Linked DNA regions of Tribolium castaneum. The protein of the gene in region 1 purifies or fractionates together with the protein of each later gene. This does not show direct contact. Links are inferred from orthologs where the notes say so. Each region holds a gene or a part of one and is shown on either strand. Other genes may lie near its edges. The genes, in order: cytochrome b-c1 complex subunit Rieske, mitochondrial; uncharacterized protein LOC658291.

The links.
Region 2: the proteins of cytochrome b-c1 complex subunit Rieske, mitochondrial (region 1) and uncharacterized protein LOC658291 purify together in Homo sapiens (co-immunoprecipitation; 5 studies listed by BioGRID and IntAct, with this or other methods). This does not show direct contact. The link is inferred for Tribolium castaneum from reciprocal best matches to the Homo sapiens genes UQCRFS1 and LYRM7.

Annotation. Positions count from the first base shown.
Region 1 is NC_087400.1:3,779,316-3,795,545, reverse strand, and holds cytochrome b-c1 complex subunit Rieske, mitochondrial, read left to right. Parts: upstream 1-9,059; 5' UTR 9,060-9,166; coding exon 9,167-9,784; 3' UTR 9,785-9,824; downstream 9,825-16,230. Other genes in the region: ss (aryl hydrocarbon receptor protein 1), read right to left, coding at 16,121-16,230.
Region 2 is NC_087401.1:12,975,127-12,991,150, forward strand, and holds uncharacterized protein LOC658291, read right to left. Parts: upstream 9,075-16,024; 5' UTR 8,969-9,074; intron 8,926-8,968; exon of another isoform or gene 8,912-8,925; 5' UTR 8,883-8,911; coding exon 8,556-8,882; 3' UTR 8,507-8,555; downstream 1-8,506. Other genes in the region: tyrosine-protein kinase transmembrane receptor Ror, read right to left, coding at 3,170-3,218; pre-mRNA-splicing factor CWC22 homolog, read left to right, coding at 1-340, 2,890-3,161; chitinase-3-like protein 2, read right to left, coding at 10,081-10,138, 11,910-12,771, 12,816-12,949, 12,996-13,048; uncharacterized protein LOC103313405, read left to right, coding at 13,281-13,319, 13,367-13,566, 13,619-13,814; uncharacterized protein LOC100142506, read left to right, coding at 15,305-15,682.

The DNA.
Region 1 (16,230 bases):
AAATGACAAAAAATTTACCTTTTCTTAGCGTCTATTTAGCAAAAACTCTAATTATTCTACAAAATTTCTTAAAACGTAAGCTAATAAATTATAGAATTATGTCAAAAATAATGTAATTTTTGTAAGTTCTAAATATTTAAACACGTTTTTAGACCAAAAATCAAGTTTTTTCTAAGTTTTTATTAAACCAGAACGAAAAAATTACCAGATTTGGTCGAAAATGACCAAAAATTTACCTTTTCTAAGCGTATATTCATTGGAAACCCAATTATTGCGCAAAATTTCTTAATAAATCTCAAAATTATGTCAAAAATTACATTATTTTTCCAAGTTCTAAAAATTTAAACACGTTTTTAGACCAAAAATCAGCTTGTTTTTTGTTTATATTTAACTTGGTCGAAAATGACATCAATTATCTTTCCTAAGCGTTTATTTTTCAGAAAATTTTGCATAAATTAGTTAAATTAGAAGACAAAAATGTTCTAAAATGTCAAAACAGTAATTACAGAAAATTGTAAAAATAATAAAAATAGATTTGAAACTCTCGTAAGAAGAAGAAGAAAACTATATTGTGTTCAGTTAAGAAAAACATTAAAAAAATGTAAAGAATTAAAAAACTGTAAAAAAGTAAAAAACTTATTAAAGTTTGGAAGATGAAATTAACTAACCTGTACTTGTAACTAAAAAAAAACAAAGAAAATTGATGAATAAAAATTTAAGAAAAATACCTAAGAAAAAAAAATGGTTAATTAAAACATATAAGAACAAAAGACACAAAAGACAGGGTCAGCAGTATTGTAATTAGTTTGTAAAGACAAAAGTCCATAAGTAATTAGAGCTTAATATTGAAGAAATATCTGAGATAAAACCTTAATTACAAAAAATGCATAAATAATTAAAAAAATATATAAAAAGACATTGAAAAAGATTGTAAACATGAAAAAATCATTTTAAAATTTTGAGAGAAAAGAACGAGACTTAAAATTCTCCATTAAAAAAATGAATAGATTAGACGAATTAAAAAAATGTTCTAACATGTGCTAGAAAAAGTAACTACAAAAATTATAAAAATAAAAATAATAGTTTAAAACTCTCGAAAGAAGACGAAAAAAACTAACAATTACAATGTTTAGTTAAAAAAAAGTAAAAAAAAAATACAAAGAATTAAAGAAGTTGTAAAACAAAACAGAAGAAAATAGATTAAAATTCGAAGAATGAAAATAGCTGACCTGTACTAAAAAAACACAGAAAATAGTATAAGTACTATTAAAAATGAAGAAATAAATTTAAAATTTTTAGACAAAAAAACGAGAGATAAAAATTATCTAATAAAATAAATAAAAAAATTGCATAAATTTAAACAAGATATTGAAGACATTCTTAAATAAAAAAATAAAAAAACTAAAAACAAAAAATTAAGAAAAAATCTATTTCTTCTCAAATTATCCCAAAACTGTTCTACAAAATTGTTCTAGTATCAACCATACGTATGTAAAATGCTCCGGTAAGTCGATTGGTGTCTAATAAAATAAATAAAAAAATGCATAAATTTAAACAAGATATTGAAGACATTGTTAAATAAAAAAAAACTAAAAAAATTAAAAACAAAAAATTAAGGAAAAAAATCTGTTTCTTCTCAAATTATACCAAAACTGTTGTACAAAATCGTTCTAGTATCAACCACACGTATGTAAAATGTTCCGGGGAGTCGATTGGTGTCGTTAACTTTCCAAAATAAAGTCAAATTTTAATATTATCACAAATACATTGTGAAGCAATCTCGTCGGAATCGGCTCTTGGCAATAATGAGTGAAGTTAAAAAAGCGATGATTGATGAGTTTTGGTGAACAGGTGGTGGTCGTGTGTCGTGCTCATTCCGCTGATCACGTGTGTGTGTGAGTTATCTCAAGTGTCATGTTTGGTGTGATGTGTATGTAATCCATAGTAGGTATCCATGACCTATCCCTCGTTTCGTGTTTGATTGTTTCGCGTGCCGCGCACAATCACTCACAGTCTCCACGCACCATCCTCCCACAACTTCCTCCCTTCAACTCTTTGCCTTTACTACGACCACTACTAAAATGCCCGTTACTTCTTTGTTAACACTGTGTTTACATGAAACGAACGCCACATTCATTCATAAATCCCACGACATTTTCGTGGCGAAACATATTAACCGGTTATGAGAAAGCCGACGGACACGTGCCACCTAGATGGATTTTCATAATGCGAAGGGTTGAAGGGTAAACGATGCACTAATAAGGGCTGCAGGAATTAGTTTGGGTGCATTATTCATTGCCTGATTGCCTGAGCTGGTGACGTGTTCATTTGGACACTGTAATATTTTACACAAGCCGGTTTTTAACGACACTTTACACTTTATGCCACAGTTTCGCCGTAATCGGCTCTAAGAAAATGAAAACTTCAACTTGTTTTTAGCCACTTTTTCGGAAACTATAAGACTTATTGAAACAAAAACAATAAAAGTTAGAGAATGTGCTTTAAATTATTTATTTCCTCGTGGTGACCTGAAGTCGCTCCCGGCCATGGTTCCGATTACAGAGGAGTTTCTAGGTTTTCACTAAAAAATTCATAACTTGAAAACTAAAAATCGTAGGACAAAACGGTTTGTTCCGGTGAATTCTGCGGCCCATTCTACGTGTTTTACCAACTTTTGATTTTTTTTGTCCAAAATTTTAATGGTCCAGGTATTTAACTTCACAAAAATGAAAAAAAAATTTTTTTTTCAAACTCACTTTGGCAAAGTTATATGGACTTTTCTATGCCGTTATAATCCTCTCAAGTTGTTGAAAGTACAATAAAAGTATATAAGTTTGTTTTTTTTTAAATTTGATTTTTCCAATTTTTGTTGATTTTCGGTACCCGGAACATTTATCGTGCAATAACTCCGAAACTATTAGAGACAATCTTATGACGTTTACTATCAATGGAAAGCCCTTTTCGTTGTCTATCTTTCTCAAAAAAGGTGATTGTTCTCCGACTAATAGTTTTCGAGAAAATTGCAAGTAAATGAAAAAATTGGTAAATAAAAAAAGCTTCATAACCAAAAAACTAATAAAAATTTGGCAATTTTTTCGGCGCCAGTCGATTCCCCGAGTCATTCTATATGAGTTTAGACCAAAATACGTCCACATTTTCAAATAGTTTTGACGTAAATTAAGAAAATATAAAAATTAAAAAATCCAAAATTTTGAAAAGAAATTGTCAAAATTGCTACTTGAAGGATTTTAAATTGTCTTTACATTGGAACAAACCGTTTTGCTCTCAATCTCAGCAATCGCCGTATAAAAACTGCATAATAAAGTAAAAGTTTTAACTTTTTTATGTCTTTTATGCGAAAACTAAAAGACTAATAGAAAAACAGTTTATTCCACTGAATTCTACGTCTCATCATATGTATTACGCTTAAACTTTTAAAAGTTTAAAATTTTTGCTTAAATTTTTTTTGGCACTTAATTAAAAAAAATGAAGAAATTATATAATGAAGAAAAAGAAGATGATATATTTAAATCTGGCGAAAAAAAAGACAAAAAATAATAATGTTAGTTAAACAAGAAATTTAAATAAAAAAGAAGAAGAAGACAAAAAAATTGAAAAAACTAAAAATTGAAAGAAGAAGAAAAAAATGTTTTGTTGGAAAAAAAACTAATGAAACTACAGACAAAAATACTGAAAAGAAAGAAGCAACAAGCAAAAAGATTTAAAAGAATTTTAAAAAAAGAAAAAAAAATTGAAAAATGAAGAGTATGGATGTGAATCTCGCGGAAGTAGATAAGAAAACAGAAAGAAAAAATAAGTTAAAAGAGAAGATGCGAAAAATTAAAAAACTAAAAAGTGAAAGAAGAAGAAAAAAATGTTTTGTTGGAAAAAAAAATTAATGAAACTACAGACGAAAAAACTGAAAAGAATGAAGCAACAAGCAAAAAGATTTAAAAGAATTGTAAAAAAAAATTTAAAAAATTGAAAAATGAAGAGTATGGATGTAAATTTCGCGAAAGTAGATAAGAAAACAGAAAGAAAAAATAAGTTAAAAGAGAAGATGCAAAAAATTAAAAAACTAAAAAGTGAAAGAAGAAGAAAAAAATGTTTTGTTAGAAAAAAAACTAATGAAACTACAGACGAAAAAACTGAAAAGAAAGAAGCAACAAGCAAAAAGAAATAAAAGAATTATAAAAAAAAATTAAGAAAATTGAAAAATGAAGAGTACGGATGTGAATTTCGCGGAAGTAGATAAGAAAACAGAAAGAAAAAGTAAGTTAAAAGAGAAGATGCGAAATAACAAAACAGAAGACAATTAATATGAATCTCACAGAGAAGGACGAAAAGAAATAAGATTAGTTAAGAAGGAAATTGAAAAAAAAATAAAGTAAAAGTAAAAATAATTAAAGAAAAACAAAAAAACAAAAATAAGAAGAAGATGAATTTGAATTTGTCAAAATAAGAAACGAAAAATGGGAATGTGTACTTAAGAAAATACTTAAAGAAAGAAAAAAGAAAAAAGTAAAAAAAATTAACAAATTATCAAACAAAAAAAAAAAGAAAAAAATGTTTGAATCTGAGAGAGAAAGAAAACAAAAATATTTTATTGGAAAAAAAAATTAGTTAAGACAGTAGTTTGTAAAAAAATTTGAAAACATTGAAAATTCTAAAGAAAAAGAAAATGATAGTTTTAAATCTGACAGATGAAGAAAAAAAATGTTAAAAAAAATATAAAAAAATCAGTAAAACAATTAATAAAAAAACAAAATTTTTGATATTTTTATGCCTTTACAACCCTCTATAGTTGTTAATAGTACAAAAAAGTCAATATGTTCGATTTTTAAAATTTTTATTTTTACAATTTTTACACATTTATCGAGCAATAACTATGGAACTACTAGAGATAATCCCATCAAGTTTACTATCGTTGGAAAGCTCTTTTAATTATCTATCGTTTTGAAAAAAATCATTCTTCTCCGGCTAATAGTTTTCTCAAAAATTGTAAATAAAGCAGCAAAAGCGAAAGTTCCAAGTCCAACACGGGACCCCGGAAATGCAAAACAATTGTCATGTCCTCACTGTTATTACCATATCACAAACAATTCCTCCATACGCACATTACTCTAACAAACAATCATCTGACATAATATTTCTGGGAATGCGAACCTTTACTTACACACATAATTCCATTGTGCATTTATACCAAGCCAAGTTAAAATTTTTGTCATTTCCTCAGAATATATAATTGCGCCTAATTGCATACAATTTAATTGGGGCGTAATTATTGCAATTATTAATTGGCCGAGTGGGACATATCTGGTCTGTGTCAGGCAGGTGTCGAACCAGACTGGCAGCTGATACCTTCCTCCTTAAATTAGGTAATTCGAGAAATCTATATTTCGACTCGATCGCATCCAGAGATAAATAATTGTCGCATCAAGAATTTGCATGCGCGCTGTGCAAGCTGCAGCAGCAAAAATTAATTAATTTCAAATAAGCGAGTATCTATGCGGTTTAAAGACCTCTCTCATTGCGGATTTATTCGCTTGTTAGGAGAGATAGTGCGAGGTGTTGCATATGCAATTGACTATTGTTGTGAGTTATCTCGGTGGATAATTTTATTTATTAGGTGAATTCACACTGATTGTGTGTGCTATTTGTCTGAGTGGTATTGATTCGCTTGGCTAATTAGCAGAAGGCGATTCACTTAACCATTTATCATCTTTAAACTGGTTCTTATCGCGAAGCCATCTAATTAAAATTGCGTTTTGTTGAATCGGGATTACACTTAATTTTATAATAAATTTCAAAGAAAACACGGCGCGAAAAATATTTTGTTTTTAAATTTTTTTTATGCAAAATTATCCAAGGAATCCAAATCTGTCATTCGTTTCGCGCTACAGTCATTTGTTTTTGAGTTACACCCTGTCAAAGTTATCAAAGTAGTTTTTAAGAGTCTCTTCTAAGAAATATTTTTTTAAATAATTTCATCACTTGATGCGTGAACAGTTGGCTAAGAATTGTGTAAAATTGCCCGGAGATCCCAGATATCTTATTCTTTTTTTGCCAACTTTACAAATTTTCAAGTTACAAGCTGTCAAACTTTAATACCGTCTGAAAGCAGATTTTAATTTTGGACATAACTTCTAATATTTTTTTTTTCAGAATAGTTTCAGATTGTTTTCATATACATATGTAAAATTGGCCCAAAAATATAAGTATCTAGTTTTTTTCGCGCAACAGTTATTTGTTTTTGGGTTATTGTTGTGTCTGTTTTACCAAATTTTTTAAACAATTTTGACACACGACAAATTTTTTTTGTTAGCGTTTTCTAATGTACAGTGGTTCAAAAAATGCGAATCTGTGTTTTTTTAACGCTAGAATCACTTATTCTCAAGCTATAAGAGGTTAAACCTAAAAATTTTCAGACTGCAGATTTTCTTGATTTTTTTGACGATTGTTAATCAATTAATTTTTTTGCAACTTTAACACTTGGTACCATGAACAATTGACATATTCTTATGTAATATTATATAGAAAATCTGAACATGTCATTGTTTTCTTACTGCACTAATTTGTTTTCAAGTTATAAGCCCAGAAGTAGTCAAAAAAAGATTTTGCCGAATTTAAGAAATTTTTCTAAAATTTTTTTGAATAATGTCGATGTTTCACGGCACTGATAATTGGCATACTCTTATGTATAATTGTCCAGAAAATCTAAATTTGTCATTCTTTCTACACTAAAATCACTTATTTCTGAATTACAGACTATTAAACCAATGCTTGTCAGAAAACAAGTTTTATTTCAAGTAAAACATTTCTTCAATTTTTTTTCTGATATGTATGTCTCACTGCTCTGATACTTAATATATTCTTGTGTAAAATTGTCCAAGAAATCCGAATTTGTCATAGTTGTCTTACTAAAAGCACTTACTCTTAAGTTACAGGGTGTCAAATCATAGCTTACCAAAAATCAGATTTTATCTAATTTTGGACATCATTTTCAACAATTTTTTTTAATGACTATGATAATGCAATCTCTTTATAGTTAACATATTCTTATGTAAAATTGTCTAAGGAATTCAAATCTGTCATTATTTTCTTCATAAAGTCACTTATATTTGAGTTAAAGCTGTCAAAACACAGTTGGGCAAAAATTATATATTATCTAATTTTGAACGGCATTTCGAACAAATTTTTCAATGATTTCAATTCTTTACACCATTAATGGTTGACATATTCTTACGTAAAATGGTCCAGAAAACCCAAATTTGTTAGTATCTTCTCACTAGAATCAGTTATTTGTGAGTTATAAGTTGTCAAACCTTAGCTTTCCAAAAATCAAATTTTTTCTCATTTTGACGTCTGTTTTAATTTTTTTTTAAAGACTGTGATACTTTCGCCCATCGATAGTTAACATATTCTTATGGAAAATTGTCTAAGGAATCCAAATCTGTCATTTTTTTCTTCATGAAATTACTTGTCTTTGAGTTAAAGCTGTCAAATCTCAGTTTGGCAAAAATCATATATTATTTAATTTTGAACGATATTTCGAACAAATTTTTTAATGATTTCATTTCTTTACACCATTAATGGTCGACATATTCTTAGGTAATATTGTCCAAAAAACCAAATTTGTTAGTGTATTCTCACTAGAATCACTTATTTGTGAATTACAAGCTGTCAAATCTTAGCTTTCCAAAAATCGAATTTTACCTCATTTTGATGTCTGTTCTAAAATTTTTTTTCAAGACTGTGATACTTTCGACCATCAATCGTTGACATATTCTTACGCAAAATTGTCCAGGAAATCCAAATCTGTTATTTTTTTCTTAATAAAGTCACTTATTTTTGAGTTAAAGCTGTCAAAACACAGTTTGGCAAAAATCATATATTATCTAATTTTGGACGATATTTCGAACAAATTTTTCAATGATTTCATTTCTTTACACCATTAATTGTTGACATATTCTTACGTAAAATTGTCCAAAAAATCCAAATTTGTTAGTATCTTCTTATTGGAATTACTTATTTGTGAGTTACAAGCTGTCAAATCTTAGCTTGTCAAAAATCAAATTTTATTTCATTTTGGTCGTCTGTTCCAAAATTTTTTTTTAAGACTGTGATACTTTCGCCTATCAATAGTTAACATATTCTTACCCAAAATTGTCCAAGAAATCCAAATCTGCCATTCTTTTCTTAATAAATTTACTTGTTTTTGAGTTAAAGCTGTCAAATCTTAGCTTTCCAAAAATTAAATTTTCTCTCATTTTGACGTCTGTTTCAACAATTATTTTTAAAGACTGTGATACTTTTGTTCATCGATAGTTAACATATTCTTACCCAAAATTGTCCAAGAAATCCAAATCTGTCATTCTTTTCTTAATAAATTTACTTGTTTTTGAGTTAAAGCTGTCAAATCTTAGCTTTCCAAAAATTAAATTTTTTCTCATTTTGACGTCTGTTTCAACAATTATTTTTAAAGACTGTGATACTTTTGTTCATCGATAGTTAACATATTCTTACCCAAAATTGTCCAAGAAATCCAAATCTGTCATTCTTTTCTTAATAAATTTACTTGTTTTTGAGTTAAAGCTGTCAAATCTTAGCTTTCCAAAAATTAAATTTTCTCTCATTTTGACGTCTGTTTCAACAATTATTTTTAAAGACTGTGATACTTTTGTCCATCGATAGTTAACATATTCTTACCCAAAATTGTCCAAGAAATCCAAATCTGTCATTCTTTTCTTAATAAATTTACTTGTTTTTGAGTTAAAGCTGTCAAATCTTAGCTTTCCAAAAAGTAAATTTTTTCTCATTTTGACGTCTGTTTCAACAATTATTTTTAAAGACTGTGATACTTTTGTCCATCGATAGTTAACATATTCTTACCCAAAATTGTCCAAGAAATCCAAATCTGTCATTCTTTTCTTAATAAATTTACTTGTTTTTGAGTTAAAGCTGTCAAATCTTAGCTTTCCAAAAATTAAATTTTCTCTCATTTTGACGTCTGTTTCAACAATTATTTTTAAAGACTGTGATACTTTTGTCTAAGCTAACCCACCCTTAGGTAAAATCACCCAAGGAATCCAAATCTGCCACTCCCACCTCGCTCCAACCCCTCGTCTCCAAGCCACAACCTGTCAAACCCCAACTTGTCAAAAAAATGTCACTCCTCCGTCGCATCATCTCCCGCTTCGCCCACACCGACATCCAGGTGCCCGACTTCACCCCCTACCGGCGCAACCCCAACCCCTGCTCGTCCTCCTCTTCCAGCGCCCCGTCGCGCCACCTGGTGCCCTACATGGTCTCCGGCACCGCCGTGACCGTCGCCCTCTACGGCGCCAAAGCGGAAGTCATCCGCTACGTGGAGTTCATGGCGGCCTCCGCCGACGTGCTCGCCCTCGCCAAGATCGAGATCAAGCTGGAGGACATCCCCGAGGGCAAGAACGCCACGTTCAAGTGGCGCGGCAAACCCCTGTTCATCAAACACCGCACTCCGGAGGAGATCCAGACGGAGCGGAGCGTCGACGTCGCGACGCTCCGGCACCCGGAGCACGACTCCGAGCGGGTCAAGGACCCGGCGTGGCTGGTGGTCATCGGGGTGTGCACCCATCTGGGGTGCGTGCCCATCGCCAACGCGGGCGACTGGGGAGGGTATTACTGCCCATGTCATGGGTCCCATTACGACTCCTCCGGGCGGATCCGGAAAGGGCCGGCGCCCACGAACCTGGAGGTGCCCGAGTACCATTTCCCAGACGCTGGGACGCTAATTGTTGGCTGATTGTTTATGGTTGGATAATAAAATTCGTTCTTTGATTGTGTGAGTTGGTTTAATGGGGGCTATATCAAGGGTAATAAAATTAGAAACGACGCATGAATCATGGAATTGTTAGTTCGATGCGTCGCCGGTTGGCGCTGTTGCGGGGGTGTGTCCCGATTGATCACTCCCTCGCCAAATCCGGGAGCGAATTCAAGGATTGTAGATAAATAACTAAGAAAAAAATTTATTTATTTTTATACATTCCCGCCTTGTTTTGTTGCTCTCTCATATTTTGTTGGGTCATTGGCTTTGATACCAACCCTACAAGCTTCAGCTGGATTATAGCAAATTTGTAGTTGAAATAACAAATTTGAGATTTAGTAACTCAAAAATCTGTGAGTGTAGCGTAAAAAGCGAGATAGATTCGAATTCTTTGGACAATTTTACGTAAGAATGTGTGACTTTTCGTTCGAAATCAATAAAAAAATTGCTTTAAGAAACGTCAAAAATTGGATAAAATCAGATCTTTAAGAATGTTGAGATTTAAAGCCTATAACTCAAAAATGAGTGATTTTAGCGTAAAAAAAAATACAAATTTGGATTTCTTGGACAATTTTACATAAGAAAATGTTAACCGTCACTTATTTCACGTATAGAAATTGCTAAAAAAAATTGTTATATGACGTGGTGTCGAAAATTTTATAAATTTTTTTTTTGGCAAGTAGTGATTTGACAGCCTATAATTCAAACAAAGATAATTTTATTAGAAAACTAATAACAGATTCGGATTCTTTGGACAATTCTACGTAAGAATGTGTCACTTATCGTTTGTCCTAAGTGTCGAAATCATAAAAAAAATTGCTTGACAGAACGTCAAAAATTGGATAAAATTAGCTCTTTAACAAGTTGAGATTTAAAGCCTATAACTCAAAAATGAGTAATTTTAGCGAGAAAATAATGACAGATTTGGATTCCCTGTACAATTTTACATAAGAAAATGTCAACTATCACTTACTTCACGTATAGAAATTGCTACAAAAAATTGTTATATGAAGTGATGTCCAAAATTTAATAAAATTTGTTTTTAGCAAGCTGTGATTTAACAGCCTACAATTTAAACATAGGTAATTCTATTAGAAAACTAATAACAGTTTCGGATTTCTTGGACAATTTTACGTAAGAATGTGTCACTTATCGTTCGTGCTAAGTGTCGAAATCATAAAAAAATTTCTTAAAGAAACGTCAAAAATTGGATAAAATTAGCTTTTTAACAAGTTGAGATTTGAAGCTTATAACTCAAAAATGAGTGATTTTTGTGAGAAAAAATTGACAAATTCAGATTCCTTGAACAATTTTACACAAGAAAATGTCAACTATCACTTATTTTAATCACAGAAGTCGCTACAAAAAATTGTTATGTGACGTGTTGTTCAAAATTTGATAAAATCTTTTTTTGACAAACTGTGATTTGACAGTCTATAATTCAAATATAGGCAATTTTATTAGAAAACTAATAACAGATTTAGATTTCTTAGACAATTTTACATAAGAACATGTCAATTTTTGGTAGTTTGAAGTAACGAAATATTAATGTAAACTATTTGAAGAAACGATCAAAATTCCATAGAATCTGCTTTAACACAACCTGAGATTTGACAACTTATAACTCAAAATTAAGTGATTTTAGTCAAAAACAAATGACAAACTTAGATTTTTCTGACAATTTTGCATAAGAATGTATCAATTATAGGTGAATTAAAGTATCGAAATCATAAAAAAAAATTGTAATAAGTAACGTCCAATCTGTAAAAATCTGTTTTTGGACAAGCTAAGGTTTGACAGCCTATAACTTAAAAACAAATGATTTCAGTAAGAAAATAATGTCAGATTTGGATTCTTTGAACAATTTTATGTAAAAATGTGTTTAATATTAGTGGTTTAAGATATTGATAATGTTGTAAAAAAAATTGAAAAAACGTTAAATTAAAATAAAATCTTTTTTTTACAAGCTTTGGTTTAACAGTCTGTAACTCGGAAACGAATAATTTTATTGAGAAAAAAATGACAGATTTGGATTTCCTGAACAATTTTACATAAGAAAATGCTAAGTATAGACAGTAGTCGTGTGTCAAAATTTAAAAAAATCGGTAAGACAGAAGCGATGTTTAAAAATTGACTACAATCTGTTTTATGATAATTCTGAGATTTGACAAAACAAATAACTGTAACGCAAAAAAAAACAAAATACTCGAGATTCTTGAACAATTTTACATAAGAATGAGTCAATGATCAGTGTGACAATCGTTTTAAAATAAATAATATAGTCGTTAGAATAAACGTCAAGACTACGATTATTATCTTCACAATTTTTTTTTCAAAGTTTCTGAGATAATTTTGGAAAAGTTAGTCTTCTCCAACGAAAATGAACCGCAAAATTTAAATATACAAGAATTATTTTGGTTCAAATAATCGTTTCAAAAATATAGCACAGTGTATTTGTGATAAAATTTTAAAAATTTTCAATTTTTTGAATAATATTTTTCAACAATTCTTTAAAATCAAACAAGAACTAGTAATCCCAATGTAAAATGACCCGCAGAATCCAAATCTGCAAAAATTAAGCAAGTCCCAATACACATTCCAAAAATATGAGCAAATGTTTAGATGATATAAAAAATCCATAATTTCTTCATTTTTTTGGCAATTATTTTGACACAATTGTCCAAAATTCACCAAAAAGTAGTGACCCAATGTAAAATAAACCGGGGAATCCAAATCTGCAAAAATTATTTAGATCCAAAGCCACGTACCAAAAATATAGCCAAAAATAATCGAATTCAAGAAAAATTAGAGATGAAAACAATCGATCAGACAACAACTCAAATATCTTCAAAGTTTTCCAACAAATTTTTGAAAAAAATACACCGTTCGATGCACAAATCCATTGCGACCCCAAATCAGCAAAAACCACCCCAACCGTCCCCACCCCAGCGTCTCAAACGCCGAAAAACCGCCCCCAGTGCAAAAAATTCGATCGCTTCTCTGCGCATTCTCACGGTTAGCGCCATTTAACATTCCATCGATTGCAGACAATAATCTCGCTACTGTATCATTAGAATCGGCTCCGAACAGCTCGTTTAAAATGCGAATTTTTCCCGAAAAAAAAAAAACACGTTACATTATTATTTCGTTCGCTCTCTCCATATTCATAATTAGCCCTAAAAAATTCTTATCAGATAAGAGTTGCTGCGCCCATGAGAGGGGAATTATTCGTCGAGGGTAGCTTGATATATAACAGTCATTCCACAAAAATAAAATATTTTTATGACACTTGCTTATGGAAATTGAACCAAACATGCGAAACGACCGATTTGATAAATTTAAATTATTTACCTCCCTTTTTTATTCAACTTTCAACGGCTTTTTCCCCAATAAGAATAATAAAAAGTAACAAAAAATTGATCAAAAACACTCAAAAAATCATACCGGGTGAATCAAAAATTATTCCACTTTCAAAAAAATTCTACAGAGTTAGTCAATAATTACACCACCCACCATAAAAATGATACAGGGTGAGTCACAAATTGATCCACCCACAGGGCGAGTCACGATTAAGTTGTACAGGGTGTTTCAAAAATTTCGCACCATACCGGGTGGGGCACATTTGTTGCTCCCGTCCGGCGAACGCTAACAACAGGTCGCCAGCACTGCAATTTGCCTCTAATTACTCGTAATAATATGTAGAAAATAATGAGTGAGGAAACAGCAAAACAAGCGTGTAATTTCGTTCGTCAATAGTCGAATTTTTTGAAAATTTTTCAAAAGGAAAAAATCTAGATCGCGCAAATTACCTATAATTACGCAAAAAAGTCCTAAGTATTATGAGGGTTATTAGTGTTGGTGAAAAAGTGTGTATGTGTCAGGCTGTCCAACCGAATTTTGTAATATACTTATATTAAGTCGGTTAATTGACTAGATCTCGAAATAAGAAATTGCGTGATGCGTGATACTACCTGTAGGTAAAGAGCTATATCTATTTACGTTTACGTGTTGTGACGTAGCTGCTTAGGCGTGTGTGGACACCATTATAAACAATAAACGGCCTTGAGACTTGATTTTGCAAAATTCGGCCAACATATGACGTGACGGATTTCAGTTTTTTACTTTTTTTTAATAAATAATACGATATACCGTTTCATTTTTAATAAAACTGTTTTGAATTACAAATTTCATTAGAGGGGTTTTACATTTAAATTATTCCAATTGACGAGGAAAAATGAAATGTCAAATGATTAGTAAGAAAAAAATATATAGTGGTTTGTGACAGCGAAAAGTTGAGGTTAGATCGCTTGCCGTCGCTCGAAGAAGTACTTTATAGAACTGTAATATCAGTTTCAAAATGCTCAAAACTGATATATTCATGCAATTTGTAACAGACTTTATTTCTACAATTTTTGTTTTTTTTTTGCTTTTATTTCATTCTGAGCAAAAATCATAATTTTTGGGCAAAAATACATGTTACCACAAATTATACTTCAAAAATAGTTTATTTGTAAAAAAATATAAAAAACAGATATAATAAAATAATGACAAATATTTTGGACACATATGATATTTGTTTAAAAAAAATGTTATATAGTGTGAAGGAAGTTAACAAAAAAAAAAAAAGAAAATAAGTTAAAAAATTGAGTGCAACAAAAAATGACATACCGACGCTTCACAGCAATTTGTGACGGATAGTACATTTATCATCACTCGATTTTTTCTTTTATTTTTATTTTGTTTAATTGTTCTTCCAATGAAATTAGAAAAAAATGAACACGACTTTTGAGAAAAATCAGAATTTTTTTTAAGTATACTTATAGTTTATTCTAAATTGCTGTGTATTTAAAAATTGTATATAACTTTAAAAACCACACCAATTATGGACACATATTATCTGTACTTATAAAATAGTTAAGAGATAGTTTACGCGTTGTAACAAAAGTATGAAAAAAAACTAAAAAACAGAATGCAATAAAAATGATATATTGACGCTTCACAGCAATTTGTAACAGATTTTACATCTGTTATAACTTGTTTTCTTGTTTTATTTTTATTTCATTTGATTGTCCTTTAACTAAAAATAGCGAAACAGGTTTTGAACAAAGGAAAACAAAAAATATCAAAAAAATCTTTTGTATTGTTTGTTCCAAATTGCTGGTATTTAGTAAATACGTTTTCATAACTATTCACAAAAGATTTTACTTAAAAATTCTTAAAAACGTAATTTTAGACAGAAATAATGTAAAATAAACAAAAAATTAACAATAATACAAAATTTGTAGAGAAATTATAAAAAAAGAATATTAAAAACTAAAAAAATTACAGACTCACATCAATAGTTTGGAACAGATTCTACTCGTAATCCTAAAATTTTTGAATATTTGATTGTGACTTTATTTGCGAAACAAAAAAATCAAAATAGAAATAACAATAATTGAAGTAGATAAAGTATAATAAGATAATAAATAATAAATGAACTGTTAGAGCTTTGTAAAATTGTAATGATTTGTGACCAATTACAATGATAGTAATTTATCGTGCATAATAATGACATATGATTATTAATTTACAAAATATCCAAAAATAAATACACTTTCCCCCGTTCGAATTTTTTTCTTTCAAAAAGTTACTTAGCTTATTATCAATTTGTAACAGATTTTATGTATGTTATAACTTGTTTTTTGAAGAAAAAAAGCGAAATAAATTTATAATAAAATAAGCAGAATTTTGTTATAAATAAAAATAGAATATAGAATTTGTAAAAACAATAACAAAAAAAGAAAAAATAAACTTGAAAAGTAGAGTAATGAAATATGTAGATATGATATATTAACGGTCTACTTCACTTGTTATCACTTATTTATAACAAAAAATAACGAAATAGATTTTATACAAGAAGAAAAAAAATCAAAATTTTGTTATAGATGCTTTTGACAGTTTTTAATCAAATTTAGAAGAGCAAATCAACTTTTTGTAACGAATTTTACTTAAAAACGCATAGTCTTAGACAGAGACAATGCGAAAAATGAAAAAAATAACAGTTATATAGGATTTGTAAAGAGAATAACACAAAAGAGAAAAATAAACTAAAAAAGTAGAGAGTAGCGAAATGAAGCTATATCAACGATTCACCACAATTCTGAACAGATTTTACTTACAATAGTAAAACTTTTGAATACTTGATCCTTTTTTTTGAAGAAATCAAAAAATAACAATTCCACTTTCCCCAACGTTTTTTTTTTTGAAAATTTTACTTACATTTGGTCTCAAATAAAACACTCACTTTGAACCCACCCCACTTTGCACTCTCACCTTTTGCCGTTCCGTCGGCGCCTCTTGGTGGCGTACACCGTCCCCAGCTGGTTCATGACGGTGGTGGTGGTGGTGCCGCCGCCGCCGCCGCCGCCAAGCGCCGCCTCACC
Region 2 (16,024 bases), on another chromosome or scaffold:
TCCGATTTGATTTCGAGCGAAAATGAGGAAAATCTTAAATTTCAAACGTCAAAGACCGAAAACACTGAGGAGAAAAAATCACCGAAAGAGAGTTTTCGTAGGAAGGTTTCCATCCATTTTAAGGGTAAAAAAGAAAAGAAAAACTCAATTTTTGATATAAAATTTGGTGCTTCTGAACCGAAACATCAAAAAACGCCAAGTGTGGAGTCCCGGAAAACACCGGAACCTAAAACTTCCAGTTCCGGATCTGAGAAAAAGAAACCGGAGGAGAAAAAGGCGCGGAAAAGTGTGTCGGTGAGCCCGGATAGAAAACACGTCCATGTCAAAGATGAGAAAAAAGGTAGGTTTTCAGGTGACATATGCACCAGTGTGTCACTCAAAAGTGTTGTAAAAATCATTAAACAAGAATATATTTTAGGAATGTTTATTTATAGTACCAGTAAGAAAAAAACAACATAAATAAAATAAATACCTAAAGATTTTTCTCAGTGAAACTGTGTTCTCTTTCAGATTTCATCTGCGTATTTTCAAAATTGTTCCAAAATTAAAATTTTTCCATACGTTTTTTTTGTTTCTTTACTTTTTTTCAGATTTTTCATTGGTACTTTTCTAGGTTAATTTTTTTTATAGATTCTTCTTCAGACGCTTCAGACTACTCAAAATTATTTTACAAATTCTCCTTCTACCTACATTTTTTTCTAAATTTTTTCTGTGTCCATTTAAAATTCTTCAATAATTTCGTTTAAAATTTTCCAAAATTATTGAAGAATTCACCCTTTAGATTATTGTATAAACTTCTTTACTTTCATTTTTTTACAGTTTTTTCTACATTCTTAAAATTCTCTTGTAGATTCTACTCAGTTTTTTTTAAATTCTTCAATAATTTCATTTAGAGTTTTTCCAGATTCTATGTATTTTTTAACTTTCTCTAGATTTTTTTTAAAAATCTTTTCCAATTCTTGTCTAAAGCCCTTTCTAAATCTGAAATCTAAACTCTTTTTTAGATTGTGTAATAAAAAAAATATTTTATAAATAATTTTATAAAATTTTATTTTATATTTTTTTTTAAATACTTCTTTACAGTGTTATTTTCTAGATTTTATTCAAAACACTTTTTATTTTTTTTTTTTCTACACTCTTCAAATTCTCTTGATTGTACTCTGACTTTTCAAAACTCTTCATTAGTTTCGGTTAGAATTTTTCCAAATTATATGTATTTTCTAGTTTTCTCCAGATTTTTTTAAATTCTCGTTTAATTAATGTCTAAAGTCCTGAAATCTGAACTCTTCTTTCTTTAGATCCTCTTATAAATTCTTTTCCAGACACTTATTTAAAATAATTTTCTAGATTTTATTCAAAATTATTTATTAAACACTTATTTTACATCTTTTTCTACATTCGCCAAAATTCTCTTTTCGATTCTACTCTGCCTTTTCAGAATTCTTTAATAGTTTCGTTTAGAATTTTCTTAGATTATATTTTTTAGCTTTTCTTAGATTTTTTTTAATTCTCTTCAATTTTTTGTCTACAACACTTTCTAGATCTGAAATCTGATCTCTTTTTTAGATTATTTTATAAATTCAAAATTCTTTTATAAATTTAGATACTTCTTTACAGTTGTTTTCTAGATTATATTCTCCAAAATTTTTTTTAGATCCCATTATGCATTTTTTTTTAATTCTTCCGTAGTTTCGTTTTCAATTTTAAAAGATTTGTACTTTTCTCAAAATTTGTCTTAAGGTTTTTCTATGATTCAATAAAAGCTCTCTCTAAGATCTTTTTTTTACAAATTCTTTATTTTACAAACCCATCTTTACATTTTTTTTTATAAATTCGTCTTTACAACTATTTTCTAGACTTTACTCAAAATTATTTTATACTGCTCTTCTTCTACTTTTTTTCTATATTTTCTACATTCTCTAATAGATTTTACTTGTGTTTCGTTTAGAATTTTTTACAGATTATTTGAAAATTTTACCAAGTTGACAACACTGATATGCAACCTTAAACCGATAGTTACTTTTGAACAGACAGTAAAGCATATCCTGTATTTTTTTTAACGGGCAGTCAGAATTAAACACACGTTAAAATCGCAAATCTAGCGATTTTATTGGTTATTGCTATGGCAACAGTAATTAACGGCTTTAAACCTTTAAACATCCTTTAAATTTTTAAGGGTTTTACCACAGAAACATTTTTCATTAATTTAATTAAGAACACGATTGGAGAAGATAAAAACGTAAATTAAAACAAAAAAAAACATGAATTTAGTTTAGAATTTATTTTTTCGTAATGTGTTTGACAAGCAGAAATATTTTGACTGAATAACATCTATTTTCCCTACTTTCTACTAATAACTAAGAACTAATAAAAAATATTTTATTAGTATTTTGTCTTTTAAAATTTTCCTAGATTCGACATACGGAATTGTGTTATTTTTAATCACATTTAATAAATTGCAATCAAATTTTAAATCCAGATTAACTTAACATTTTCAGTGCATTTTAAATGGGAATTAGTTTAATTCCGCATTAAATTAAAGCTTCGTTAAAATTTATTCGTTGTTAAAAGTCAACAATCCGAATGGACCAATCACATTTGTTCAATTTGGTCACGTGACCACGTAATCACGCATTTAATTGCGAATTAAGGTAATAATGACGCTTTGTTAAACTTAAATTCCCTAGTTTGTTAAACTTGATTTTTATGATCTCTCATCCTATTCAAGTTTTCTATATTACTAAATTGTTTATGTTGTTTGTATTGCCTACAAAAAGAGTTGTCTTTAAAAAAAATTTTGTCCTAATTTTTGTGAAAAAGTGACACGAAGAGTGCGTATGTCACCGCCACCGCCTACTTGAATGTAATAATTAATTGATTAAAAACCAGATAACGACCAGAAACGGCACCGCAAGCACCGAAAGAGCCGCCGGGGGACCCTCACCAGCGTGGAGCGCCCCCACCGCGAGCGCTCCTTCTCGGTGTGCACCGACCGGTCGGAGCACCGCTTCGGGGCCCCCTTCGAGGACTCGGAGCGCGAACGCACCAACAGCCTCAGCAGTTGCGAGACAGTCAAGACGCGCAAAATGTCCAACATTTCCAACATTCCGCTCAATGGAAAAGTGCCGTGGTGTGCGTGCTGGGGCAATGGGTGCATTTAGACACTTACCAAGAATCGTCGATGTTGCGAGCAGGAAGACACAGAGGTGTTTGTTCATGATTAGGTCAGCGACATTGTTTGGCACCGGGTCTGGGTCAAGGGGGCAAAGGGTCGATGCACCTGCAGGAGCCACAAATAAAGCAAGGTGCTAACGGGGCGCTTTTATTACTTACGGTTGATAAACAAATAAATTGCACTGGAAATAACGCCGATTTGTGTAAATATACACAAAGAATGTTTTGGGATGGTTTGACAGATGAAAAGTTACTAAAAATAGAAACGCACCAAAAAAATGTTGGCAACGCCACGCGACGGAATTTTGCAGTGGACCAGTGGACTACTCACCCAAACAAATCATTCGAGAAAAAATACATGTTCTTTTACTTAAATTAAATTGTTGTGATACCAATACGAAAGAATCTATACTGTTTTGTCCTTTATTGTATGATAATTTATAATAAATAAATTGATATCTCGTTTTCTACAGCCAAGTTCACACCAGGAAAATTATGAAAATAATCGTAAATCATTGTAAAAACATAAATAAGCTGTTACGCTGACTTGCATATCACTTTTGTAGAACATCTACTGACCATTCTAGTATGTTTCCATTACAAATTAAAACTTAACTGTATTTAATTTCTGCATTTTTATTCTCATATTCAAGCAATGCAACTGATTTTTTTTCACCCCCTTTATATCCTGATTTTTTTTTATTTTTGCAGAAGATTAAGCCCTTCGATTGTAAAAAAAACCATGTTCGGGCAAACACCCCTTGGGACCTTAACGAATTTTTTTAATATTTATAAAATTTCACGATATTGCAAAAAATTCGTATTTAAGGATTGCTCTAATTGGTCAAATTACTAAGTAATTTGTCCAGCAAGAACCACGTGAAGGTTTAGAGCATTCTTGCCAGGAAAAAGGGATATAGGGATCAGGTAAACAATGATTATTGGAACATAAAAAAGAATTATTGGTTTGTGAAATAACAAAACTACAAAATAGGTTACAATATGTGGCACTCAAAACTATTAAATTCAACACCCCACAAAATAAGGTAAACAATGATTATTAGAAAACAAAAGAATTATTGGTTTGTGAAATAAAAAAATGCGACACAAAAATTAAAATCACCTACCTTCATATCGCTTCTACGTTGGCTACTGTTTGTAGCAAGACATTAAAAAATTAAAACAACACCAATAAAAAATCTTTATTTGCATGAAGGTTACAACAATTATACAAACATATATCAATTTTACACAAAACAAAGAATACCCAATACGTTATAATATATGGCAGTCATCTATTAAATTCAACACATCACTAGATAAATGCACCTACCTTCATATCGCATCCACGTTGGCTACCGTTTGTAGCATTAAAAAAAATAATAATAAAAATGAAACCAAAAAAAAAATGTTTATTTGCTTTAAATTTAGAGCAAGCCACTCTCATTCATTGAAATTAAAAGAGAAAATTATTAAGTGGCATTAAATTGTTTGAGTGTTTGATTTTATTTAAGTTACTGTATTTAAAATGAGTCACTCAAACTATGATTTTTCAACACCGTATTTAGAGCCGGTGTACACAACATTTTATTTGCAATTAAATTTTAAGGAAATATTTGTGAAATAACGCAACACAAAAATAAAATGGTCCTACCTTTCGTATCGCTTCCACGTTGGCTACCGTTTGTAGCATTAAAAAAAAATAATAATAAAAATGAAACCAAAAAAAATGTTTATTTGCTTTAAATTTAGAGCAAGCCACTTTCATTCATTGAAATTAAAAGAAAAAATTATTAAGTGGCATTAAATTGTTTGAGTGTTTGATTTTATTTTAGTTACTGTATTTAAAATAAGTCACTCAAACTATGACTTTTCAACACCGTATTTAGAGCCGGTGTACACAACATTTTATTTGCAATTAAATTTTAAGGAAATATTTGTGAAATAAATAAAACGCAACACAAAAATAAAATGGTCCTACCTTTCGTATCGCTTCCACGTTGGCTACCGTTTGTAGCATTAAAAAAAAATAATAATAAAAATGAAACCAAAAAAAAAAAAATGTTTATTTGCTTTAAATTTAGAGCAAGCCACTTTCATTCATTGAAATTAAAAGAGAAAATTATTAAGTGGCATTAAATTGTTTGAGTGTTTGATTTTATTTTAGTTACTGTATTTAAAATAAGTTACTCAAACTATGACTTTTCAACACCGTATTTAGCGCCGGTGTACACAACATTTTATTTGCAATTAAATTTTAAGGAAATATTTGTGAAATAAATAAAACGCAACACAAAAATAAAATGGTCCTACCTTTCGTATCGCTTCCACGTTGGCTACCGTTTGTAGCATTAAAAAAAATAATAATAAAAATGAAACCAAAAAAAAAAAAATGTTTATTTGCTTTAAATTTAGAGCAAGCCACTTTCATTCATTGAAATTAAAAGAGAAAATTATTAAGTGGCATTAAATTGTTTGAGTGTTTGATTTTATTTTAGTTACTGTATTTAAAATAAGTCACTCAAACTATGACTTTTCAACACCGTATTTAGAGCCGGTGTACACAACATTTTATTTGCAATTAAATTTTAAGGAAATATTTGTGAAATAAATAAAACGCAACACAAAAATAAAATGGTCCTACCTTTCGTATCGCTTCCACGTTGGCTACCGTTTGTAGCATTAAAAAAAAATAATAATAAAAATGAAACCAAAAAAAAATGTTTATTTGTTTTAAATTTAGAGCAAGCCACTTTCATTCATTGAAATTAAAAGAGAAAATTATTAAGTGGCATTAAATTGTTTGAGTGTTTGATTTTATTTTAGTTACTGAATTTAAAATAAGTCACTCAAACTATGACTTTTCAACATCGTATTTAGAGCCGGTGTACACAACATTTTATTTGCAATTAAATTTTAAGGAAATATTTGTGAAATAACGCAACACAAAAATAAAATGGTCCTACCTTTCGTATCGCTTCCACGTTGGCTACCGTTTGTAGCATTAAAAACAAATAATAATAAAAATGAAACCAAAAAAAAATGTTTATTTGCTTTAAATTTAGAGCAAGCCACTTTCATTCATTGAAATTAAAAGAGAAAATTATTAAGTGGCATTAAATTGTTTGAGTGTTTGATTTTATTTTAGTTACTGAATTTAAAATAAGTCACTCAAACTATGACTTTTCAACATCGTATTTAGAGCCGGTGTACACAACATTTTATTTGCAATTAAATTTTAAGGAAATATTTGTGAAATAACGCAACACAAAAATAAAATGGTCCTACCTTTCGTATCGCTTCCACGTTGGCTACCGTTTGTAGCATTAAAAAAAAATAATAATAAAAATGAAACCAAAAAAAAATGTTTATTTGCTTTAAATTTAGAGCAAGCCACTTTCATTCATTGAAATTAAAAGAGAAAATTATTAAGTGGCATTAAATTGTTTGAGTGTTTGATTTTATTTATAGTTACTGTATTTAAAACGCGTCACTCAAACTATGACTTTTCAACACCGCATTTAAAAAATTAAAACGCACGACTGCTACCGTTTGTAGCAAGATAATGAAAATAAATTAACCGCAAATGAAAAAAAAAATGCACTGACCTTTTTAATCCGGATTGTTGTTTCCTTCTTGAAGACCATTCCATTGGCACTAACACACACTACACTAACCGCGATCACCGAATTTAAAATTTAAACCGAAAAATTTAGATTTGCTTGAGCACACGTCCGTTCGCGACAACGGCAAGTAACAAACTGAATAATTTAAACGAAACGGCACAATAATTTAAATACACCGTTCGTCTCGAGCTCCCGAAGTGACCCCTACCACTGCTCGATGCCGACTGAAGCGCTCTCGCCTACTGCGACGCACACCTAACCTCGGGACACGTCACGGATGTGACGTCACATTGTGTGTAAAACAGGTCATCACCAGAAACATACACTCACATAATTCGTCAAATTTAGAAACATTCATACACAGAATTATTCAAAATAGAACAGTATTAACCTAGAAAAATTAATTATAACAAATGTTTTTGTCTATAAACGTTTGAAATTATAAAAGTTTCGCATGCAATTATTGGAAAAATAAAAATGAATGTTGTTATTTAAACAGAACCTGGCAATGTGAATTTTGATGCGAAAATTAGTGGTATCGCAATGCGTATAGCCACAAATTGCTTGTTTGGTTTGTTTTGTTGAAAATTTGGTAGGTTCGAAAAGTAGGGTTATGGTGCCACCTGGAAATGACAAAATTTACACTTTTATCCATTTCTGCCCTTTCAGAGCGTTATGATAGGATATTTAGGGCAGAAATGTCTACCTTGCGTCAAAAATTTATGTGTTATTGCCAGACAGAGACAAAAGTTCAGAAAGTAGGGTTATACTCTCTTCTGAAGTGTTAAATTTTAATTTTAATAGATTTTGTGTGCTTTTCGGCTCTTTTAGGACGTTATTAATCATTGTTGAATATGTTTAAGGGCAGACAAATCTACCTTTGGGTCAACGACATAAACTTCAGTGTGATTTATTGAAATAGGGCAAATATAAACTTCTCGTGTTTCATTTTGATGAAAAAGGAGTTTAATCGTTTATAAAGAGCGTGTTAACGTGTGTTAAGTTTGCCACGTAATAAAACATAAAGTACAACAACTTTTCTATAAAAGCATTTTGCAAAATTCTTATTCATTATTTTCACTATTTTCCTGATTTAATATTTGCAAACGAGCTGGTGATGTGAAATTTTGGTGCAAAAATTACTGGTATTGCTACAAATTGTGTTAGTTTTAAGTCTCCAAAAAATTCGGTTTTAAAAGTAGGGTTATGTTATCATTTGGAAATGTGAAAACTTTAACTGTTATGGATTTTGTGTCCGTTTCCGCTCTTTTAAAGCGTTATTAATTATTATTGAATATGTTTAAGGGTAGATAAATCTACCTTGAGTCAACGACATAAACTTCAGTGTGATTTATTGAAATGTATATAGGGCAAAAATTAACTTCTCGTGTTAAATAAACATTTTGATGAAAAAGGGCGTTTAACTGTTTATAAAGGGTGTGTTAACATGTGTTGTTAAGTTTAAATGCAAAAATTAAATGCAGTTAAGTTTTAATTTGTAATGGAAACACATGTTCTACAAATGCGATATGCAAGTCAGCGTAACAGCTTATTGATGTTTTTATAATGATTTACGATTATTTTGATAATTTTCCTGGTGTGAACTTGGCTGTAGAAAAGTCTGGTCGACTGTAATCAGCACCAAATTTTGTACGAATGGTTGCTTATCACCTGCATTCAAAATCCATCACAAAAATAAAAAACGATTTCCTAATTCTAACCATTTATTCTACCAAAAAAAAAACAATTCAGAATTCAGGTTTTCGACTTTTGGGCACACTCATTAAAGGGCACATTCTCCAACCTTGGAATTTCCTCCCTCAACCTAACCTCGTATTGCCCAGGCTGTATTTCCCTAGCCTGGATAACAGTAACCCTTAATTCAGTTTCTACAGCCTTTGAATAATTCACTAGTTCCTCTATGGCGTGTTTATCGGTCACGTTTTTACATTTTTTGTACTCTTCATTAATTTTGGAACGTGCTTTGGTCAAGGCATTATTATCTCCTTGAAAAACATGTTTTCGCGCCTTGTGGAGTGACTTGAAAGCAGCTAAGACCTCACGACGTAGATTTTGGGCCATTTTTATTGAACCCCTTTTTGTTACATAACCTCAAAAAAAATTACTATCCAATAAAAAAATCAATTATTGTGTTACGTAAGTCTTACCGGATTATTTTGTAGGATGTTTTTAACTTGAATTTAGTATTTAATTGAAAATTTGGCCGAAATTGTGTTTATTTGTGTGTACAAGGTTGCCAACACAAAAATGACATTTTGACAATTAATCTCACTTTTTAATAATTAAATATTTATTTTTAACGCCACGATTGGAGGAAAAAACAATTGTTTTAAATGAGAGAAATGCCCTTGAAATTAATACCAGAATATTTGGTATCAGGAAAATACAGTAAGGGTCGCCAACATGAAATTTGTCAAACTTTGCGCATTACTTTTATTACAAAAATTATAATACTTGCATTATCACCGCGCTTAACAGCCTCAGGTCACACAGTCGTCAGGACGCGTTAAAATATTGAATAATTCCTGTCCAGAATCTCTTTAACTTTGTTAATAAGTGGAAACTGCCGACTTTGCACTTTTGGATCGACTTTACAAACCCCCAAATAATCATCAGCGTTTAGGGAATAGACCATAACGCCCCCAAACTGATTATCTCGCACAAACTCGGCCTAAAAACCCAAACTGTACCAACATCCCAACTCAAAAATCACTATAAAATCGGTAAACCCCCTAGCCAACTCACCTTAAAGGAGAGACTTTGTTCGTTGTCAAAAGAAACCCACTCTGTCCCTTTGGTCGCATAGGGACTTTTCGAATCCAAATCAAAAATTGGCGAGATCTGATTCATGTTTAAAAATTTACAAACTTGGGTATAATCCACAAAACCGCCACTTCCCAGCTTGCCGTAGCCACGGGCTGGGGCGTAGAACCCACTGTTGTGAATATTCGTCAATCTACGAACAGTTTCTAGTTTGTAACTGATTCGGTGAAATTTTACTTAGGCACACTCGCATAAAAATGTGTAAATTCCCCAGATTTATTCATCTCATTAGAAACGACTAACGATTAAAAAAAACAATTCAAATTGTAGTGAAAAAATAGGTGACCAGAAAAAAGCCCATAGGAAAAAAGCTCACACAGAAAAATACCTACTTACCAAAAAACTGAAGAAGCCCACTATAAGCTGCGTTTAAATTAATGGTTATTACGTTTCCTCTCTAGTTCCAATTCATTAATAAACTATTTTTTGTCCTCTTCTATTTTAAAGATGCATTTGCCCATTCTTTTTCAAATTTACTACCAACATTCAAACACCTGCAAAATGGTCTTGTTGGCAACACTTTTAACGATTCTATTCGGAAATAAAATTAACTAGACGCCCTCTGGTGATGACTTTTGAATTATGTCGAAAACAGTAAAGAAATTTTCGTAATGCCACATTTAACTGACATCAACTGACATTTAATGAATTGTTCAACAATTTTGCGTGTATAGTGTTAATTACTTACAATAGAAAGAATTCCTTTAAAAGTACGTGGTGGTAAATACTAGCGTTGACTTTGGTTCTGTAGTTTTTTGTGGTATAAAGTGTTTATTGTTGGAACTTGAAAGTGGATAAAAAGTGAAAAATATTTAAATTTTGATTACAAAGTGTTATCAAACAGTTGTCTAATTAAAGATTATAAGTAATGGATCACAGCGAACACAAAGTTTGGCTCAAAAAACCAATAAAATAGTGAAGTGTTATGAATTTTAGGTTAGAATTTTCCACTGAAAAAATTATGAAATGCTGCGGTAAATCTACAAAACTACAATAAAGATTAACAACTGCTGATACATTTAAACGTAAATTATGCCAAAAGGTAGGCTTTTCAATGTCTTTGTAATAATTTTCCAATAAAGAAAGTGAACCAAACAGTCCTTCGTTATTCGTGTTTTCCTCGTCATCTCTCATTTGTCAACATAAGTTTCTTGCATCAAAGATGCAATAATCATTCCGCATAGGCAATGTAATAATTGTGAAGCCTCAAAATTCGTACAACGCTCAAAATATCCGAATAAACATTTTCCCGCCATTTATGGTTACTGTTTTCAACCTAGCTCAGTGGCGCTCCCAACGGTAATTTTACTTCCGAATAATTTTCTAATGTCTATCTTTTTTGAACAAAATGTGGACATTTCTGATAAGAGTGATGGTTTTTAAAATAATTTCAATTATGGACTTTTATGAAAAAATACAGGGTGTTAGGGTAATATGTTGCAATATTTTGAATGTGAATTAATGCCGATGACAGACGACTCAAAAACCCGACATTTTTTCCCAAAACTGCATAATTTTAAACAACTGCGTGGTTTAAGGTAGTTTTTTTTTAGTAAAGTGAAATAAGTGGCCCATGGACGTTTTAAAAATTTTTTAAACAATGTTGCTATTGATTGCTTGCATGTTCATTTGTGTGGGAGGTTCGAACCCAAGTTCTGGCATTTTTTTTTTGAGTGAACCAAAAATTTAATTAACGCTGCTGTTTTGTCAATAATTTTACGCTAATTTTTATCACTCTAGTTCAGCGATTCTCAAAACCGTTCAGAACGGTTTTTTTTTTTGGAAAAAATCTACCTTCAAATTTTTGCTAAAACATTCCCAAACACGCTGTATAATTTTTTGAATTTCATAATTTATGAGAAGAACAGAGCGAACAGATCAAGCAGTCTAGATTTAAGCTATACGTAGAAAAACCGTAACCAATTTCCAAAATTTTGAAATTTTTAAGTAAAATAAAAAATTACAACAAAAAAATTTAATGGTCTTTACCTAAAAACATTTTACACGGTTACACTTTTGATTATTACTAGTTTTTCTAAGAGCATTTTTCCGTGTGGGCATTTATCTAGTAGGTTTATTGCATGGTCATTTCGAAGTCATTTGATTGGTTGCTTTATCGAAAAGAGCCGACCTGATCCGATCAAGTCAGCCGGCTACTATATGTCAGAAAATTGACATTTGACAGTCAAATGTCAATTTTGTATTTAAAAAAATTATGATAAAAGTGTTATTATGCAGTCGAATGTGCCTAAAGTAAAATTTTACCATTGATTTTGAGCTATGTACCGAAAAGTGTGTCCATAAGCAGGCAAACCAATCACAATTTTCTCCCTTGCCATCCCTTTGGAAACCCAATAGTGTGCCGTGAAATTAATATTAAGCGTTGAAAAGTACCCCTTATCCTCCATGGCGGGGTACAGGGGCGAATTGAGCCCCGTAAAGGGGGTCAATTTGGTATAAAAATGATAATCATACGACATAACATTAACAAAATCAACAAACTCGTTCAAATAAGGCACATCATAGCAATTATCCACCAGAAAAATGGGGGCTGCCACAGCCACCGTCACAATAAACTTATGCCTCGCCTGCTTATTAATCGCCATTCGAAACTCCTCCAAAAGCTGCACGAAATGCACCTTCTGGTTCCGGTCCTTCCCCGGACTTTCATTCGGAAACTCCCAATCGAGATCAACCCCATCCACGCTATAATTCCGCACTAAGTCGATCACCGATCGAATAAAAACTTTCCGACTCGCGTGATTTAACACCATGCCACTGTAGCCCCCATCATTCCCAGCCCCGCCCACGGACACCAACACCTTCAAATCCCCATTGACTTGCTTCAACCCCACCACGGTTTGGAGCACCCTCAGCTCGTCCCGAGTCAGCTGTACCCCATTGGGGCCCACACGGGCGAACGCCACGTTGATATGCGTGCACAGGAAGGGGTCCAGGCTCTCGGGCTGCAGCCCCCCGTCCGCGCTTGGAAAATTATAGTAACAAACTAGCCTAAAATCGGCGATTTTTGGCACGTCCTCTTCGATCAGCAGCAGCCCCCTGTCGTCGGGCTTGCGCAGCCGGGAGCTGTACATTTTGGCACGGTGGGCGCCCCGACCTGGCCCCACTAAACAACAAATGAGTGATAGCCCCCTTGGTACTTTTGCCTACCTTCGGTGGGGCTTCGGGGGTACAAGAGACTTTCGTTGCTTCTAAGTATAATCGTGTAAATACCACAGAATATTATGACAGGGACGGTGATAACGGTGATTATGAAGAGGGTGCGCCCGTCGAACCATCGTCTCCTAAAGGGGGCACACTAATCAATTGCTCAAAACCAACAATAATCACCTGTTATTTCCCAATAAAACGAACTGAGAATGGCCAGAATAAATATCAGTCATAATTTGTGGTTAGGTTTTTGTTGACTGACAAATCGGGTCACGTGACCGGAAACACTTCCCCAAATTTGAATAATTGATAAGGATTATTGATAAAATTCGAATTGTGACGTGCCGTTGGGGTTTTGCAATAAACTAAAAAAAAAATGATGAGTAAAATGTCATTGTTCGGGGATCAACTGTGATAAGATAAAATCCTAACACTTTAATACCCACCATTGCATTGTTTGGCAAAATGAGGCTGTTATTTGCGTTGGTTTTTACAATTCTGGCTGTAATTACGCTATTTTGTTTAAATATAAGTCCCTGTGTGGTTTTTAGGTGCGAGCCGATGTCCGAGTGTGTGACATCAAGTGCGAACCTGAAGATGAGTTTCTCGACGCCGAAACGGGCGAATGGGACGATTTTATGGACGAATTGGTTGCAAAAACCTTCGAAGAAGGACGAATGCTCCCCTGTAGTAAAGATCCTACCCAACTTATCACAGTAGACCCTGGTGATGACATTGTTTGGGACTTGCGGTTAGTTTTTGTGTTTTTTGATTGTAAATAATGATGGTATCATTGATTTCAGTTTTAAAATCTATAGCGAACGCAAAATTATAGGAGAGAAGACGTTAAACGATTGTTATTGTGATTTTACCGATTGTAAGAGTGAGGAGTTTAGGCAGTGTTTGGCATCGGCCCGGATTGCAATGAAAAATGATATAAATACGGTTTTAGTGCGTGGTATTGGTCAATATTTATTGTTAGAATCGTTAAAATGTTAAATAAATGGTTAAAAAATAATATAGTTTGTTTAAATCGTCTGTCTGCTGGGGCGCGACGAGTCCGCGTACAATGGAATCTGTATTTTGGTTTGAAACTTTGCTAAATTTTCCGGGCGATTATTTAAACTAATAATAATAATAATTCGAGTAGGCTTTGGTAATTTTTTAATGTGTATGAAAACGCTGATAAGCATAATAAAAACTGAAGAGTTATATAATAATGTAAGGATTAAAATACATTGTTTATTTCAGTTTGCCTAGTTTATCAAAGCCGCCTAAATTTAAATTTACAAATTTACAAGAGTGTAATCAAATGTCCCAATAATAGTCCACTAGGTTACTATATGAAACCTGTCTTAATGGACACCTCCGAATAACGGACACCTCTTCACAACGGACATTTTTGTAGCAATTAACAGAATTGGAAAATAATGTAAAAAACGGACTATTTATAAAAATAACATAAACTAGTTAATTACTAATTATTAATTGTGTTATTAAACACTGACCGGTTCGTTTGCACAAAGGAAAGGAGGAAAACAGTGAAAATAACAAAGAATTTTGCTAAATGTTTTTATAGAAAAAGTTGGACTTTATGACTTTTATTACGTACTTAATGTGTTCATACTATTACATATCTCAAAAAAATAAACCACGGAGCAGTACCAAACAAAAAGCAAAATGATAAAAAATTAATTCTCCACAAAACTACACATTTTTTATTTCGTCTGATGATCTGAGTCTTGGGTGCCAAAAAAAATACACCATTTATGCACAACATCATTGTAAATATGTGTGCAAAAATTGAACCCAATACTAGCAATAGCAAGGAAAAAATACCCTTTAGAAAAATTTCTTTGCGAAAAAATTTCAAAATTTATTTGCCAGTTGGAGGCCATTTGCCACAGTAGTTGGAAATCCGGTTGAAAATATGTATAAAAGTAAAGGGTAAAAACACGTATTTTTTGATTTGACAGTTTGATTTTGATAGTTCTCGGGGGCCGCCTTAAGACGTATCCTAACCTTTAGATCTCCGTAGTCATAGAAATTTGTAAAAAAATCAATTATTGTCCAGGTGATTTAAACAAGCAATAAGCCGATTTTGCTCGTTATTTTCGCTCAGAACCTCAGATATTGATTTATTTTTCGATTGTTACCAGACGTTGGCAATCGAGATGTCACTAGAAAGCGTGAAAATTATTAACAAAACCTCACGTAAAATTATTAAAAATTGCAGTCACAGGTGTGGATTTTTCCATCTAATGTAACAAAAGCCTACGACTTTTGTACCAATTCTCTGTGATTGTTTTTAAACGGTGGCGACACCTTCGGTCGGTAAAACCAACCTACCGCCCTGCAGTAAAAATGTCACGCTCGCAATAACAACACACTTACGACAGCGGAAGTGCAATCAGCCCCCTTCTGCTCGTCGTCAAGTTGTGTAATTTGTTTATTTACAAACAAAACTGATCGTGTGCTTGTGCGCAAAAATGGAAGACGAAGTTCTCGTAAGTTCGCCTTTAATTCCTGAAAAGTCGAAGAAACGCTACGAATCGGCCTATAAATTTTTCAAAGATTGGTGTTTCGCGAAAGACAACGGCCCCATTTCGGAGGCGTTGCTTTTGGCGTACTTTCAGGAAAAACGTGCAATTCTGAAATCGCCGTCGAGTCTGTGGTGCGAGTATTCCATGCTGAAAACAACGATTTTTGTCAATGAAAATATTGATATTTCCAAGTTTGTCAAACTTAGAGCTTTCCTGAAGCGACAAAACGCCGGATACAAACCCAAAAAATCAAACACTTTCAGCAGGGAACGAATCAACCAGTTCCTCGAAGAGGCTCCAGACGAGAAATATCTTCTCATGAAGGTAAACAAATGATCAATTAAGTTGGTAGCGAATGACTCCTTCAATTTCCGAAAATACCCGAACACAAACAAAAAAAATGAGCTTCAATATTGTAAGTGTATGTTTGGTTGCCTACTTTAGAGATGTTTAATCAAGTGGAATACAGAAAAACCACTAAACGTCCACTCAAATATGGCATTTCAAGAGAGGTAGGAATTGGTTAGTGATAAAAGATTTTATTATTTACGAAAAATTGTGTTTTTTTTTCAAAGAAAGCAACTTTTATACTATGGTGATGATGGTAGTAGGTAGGATGGTGTCTTAAACTAGTGATGTGAAATGAAAGCCTTACGTCCTCTTGTC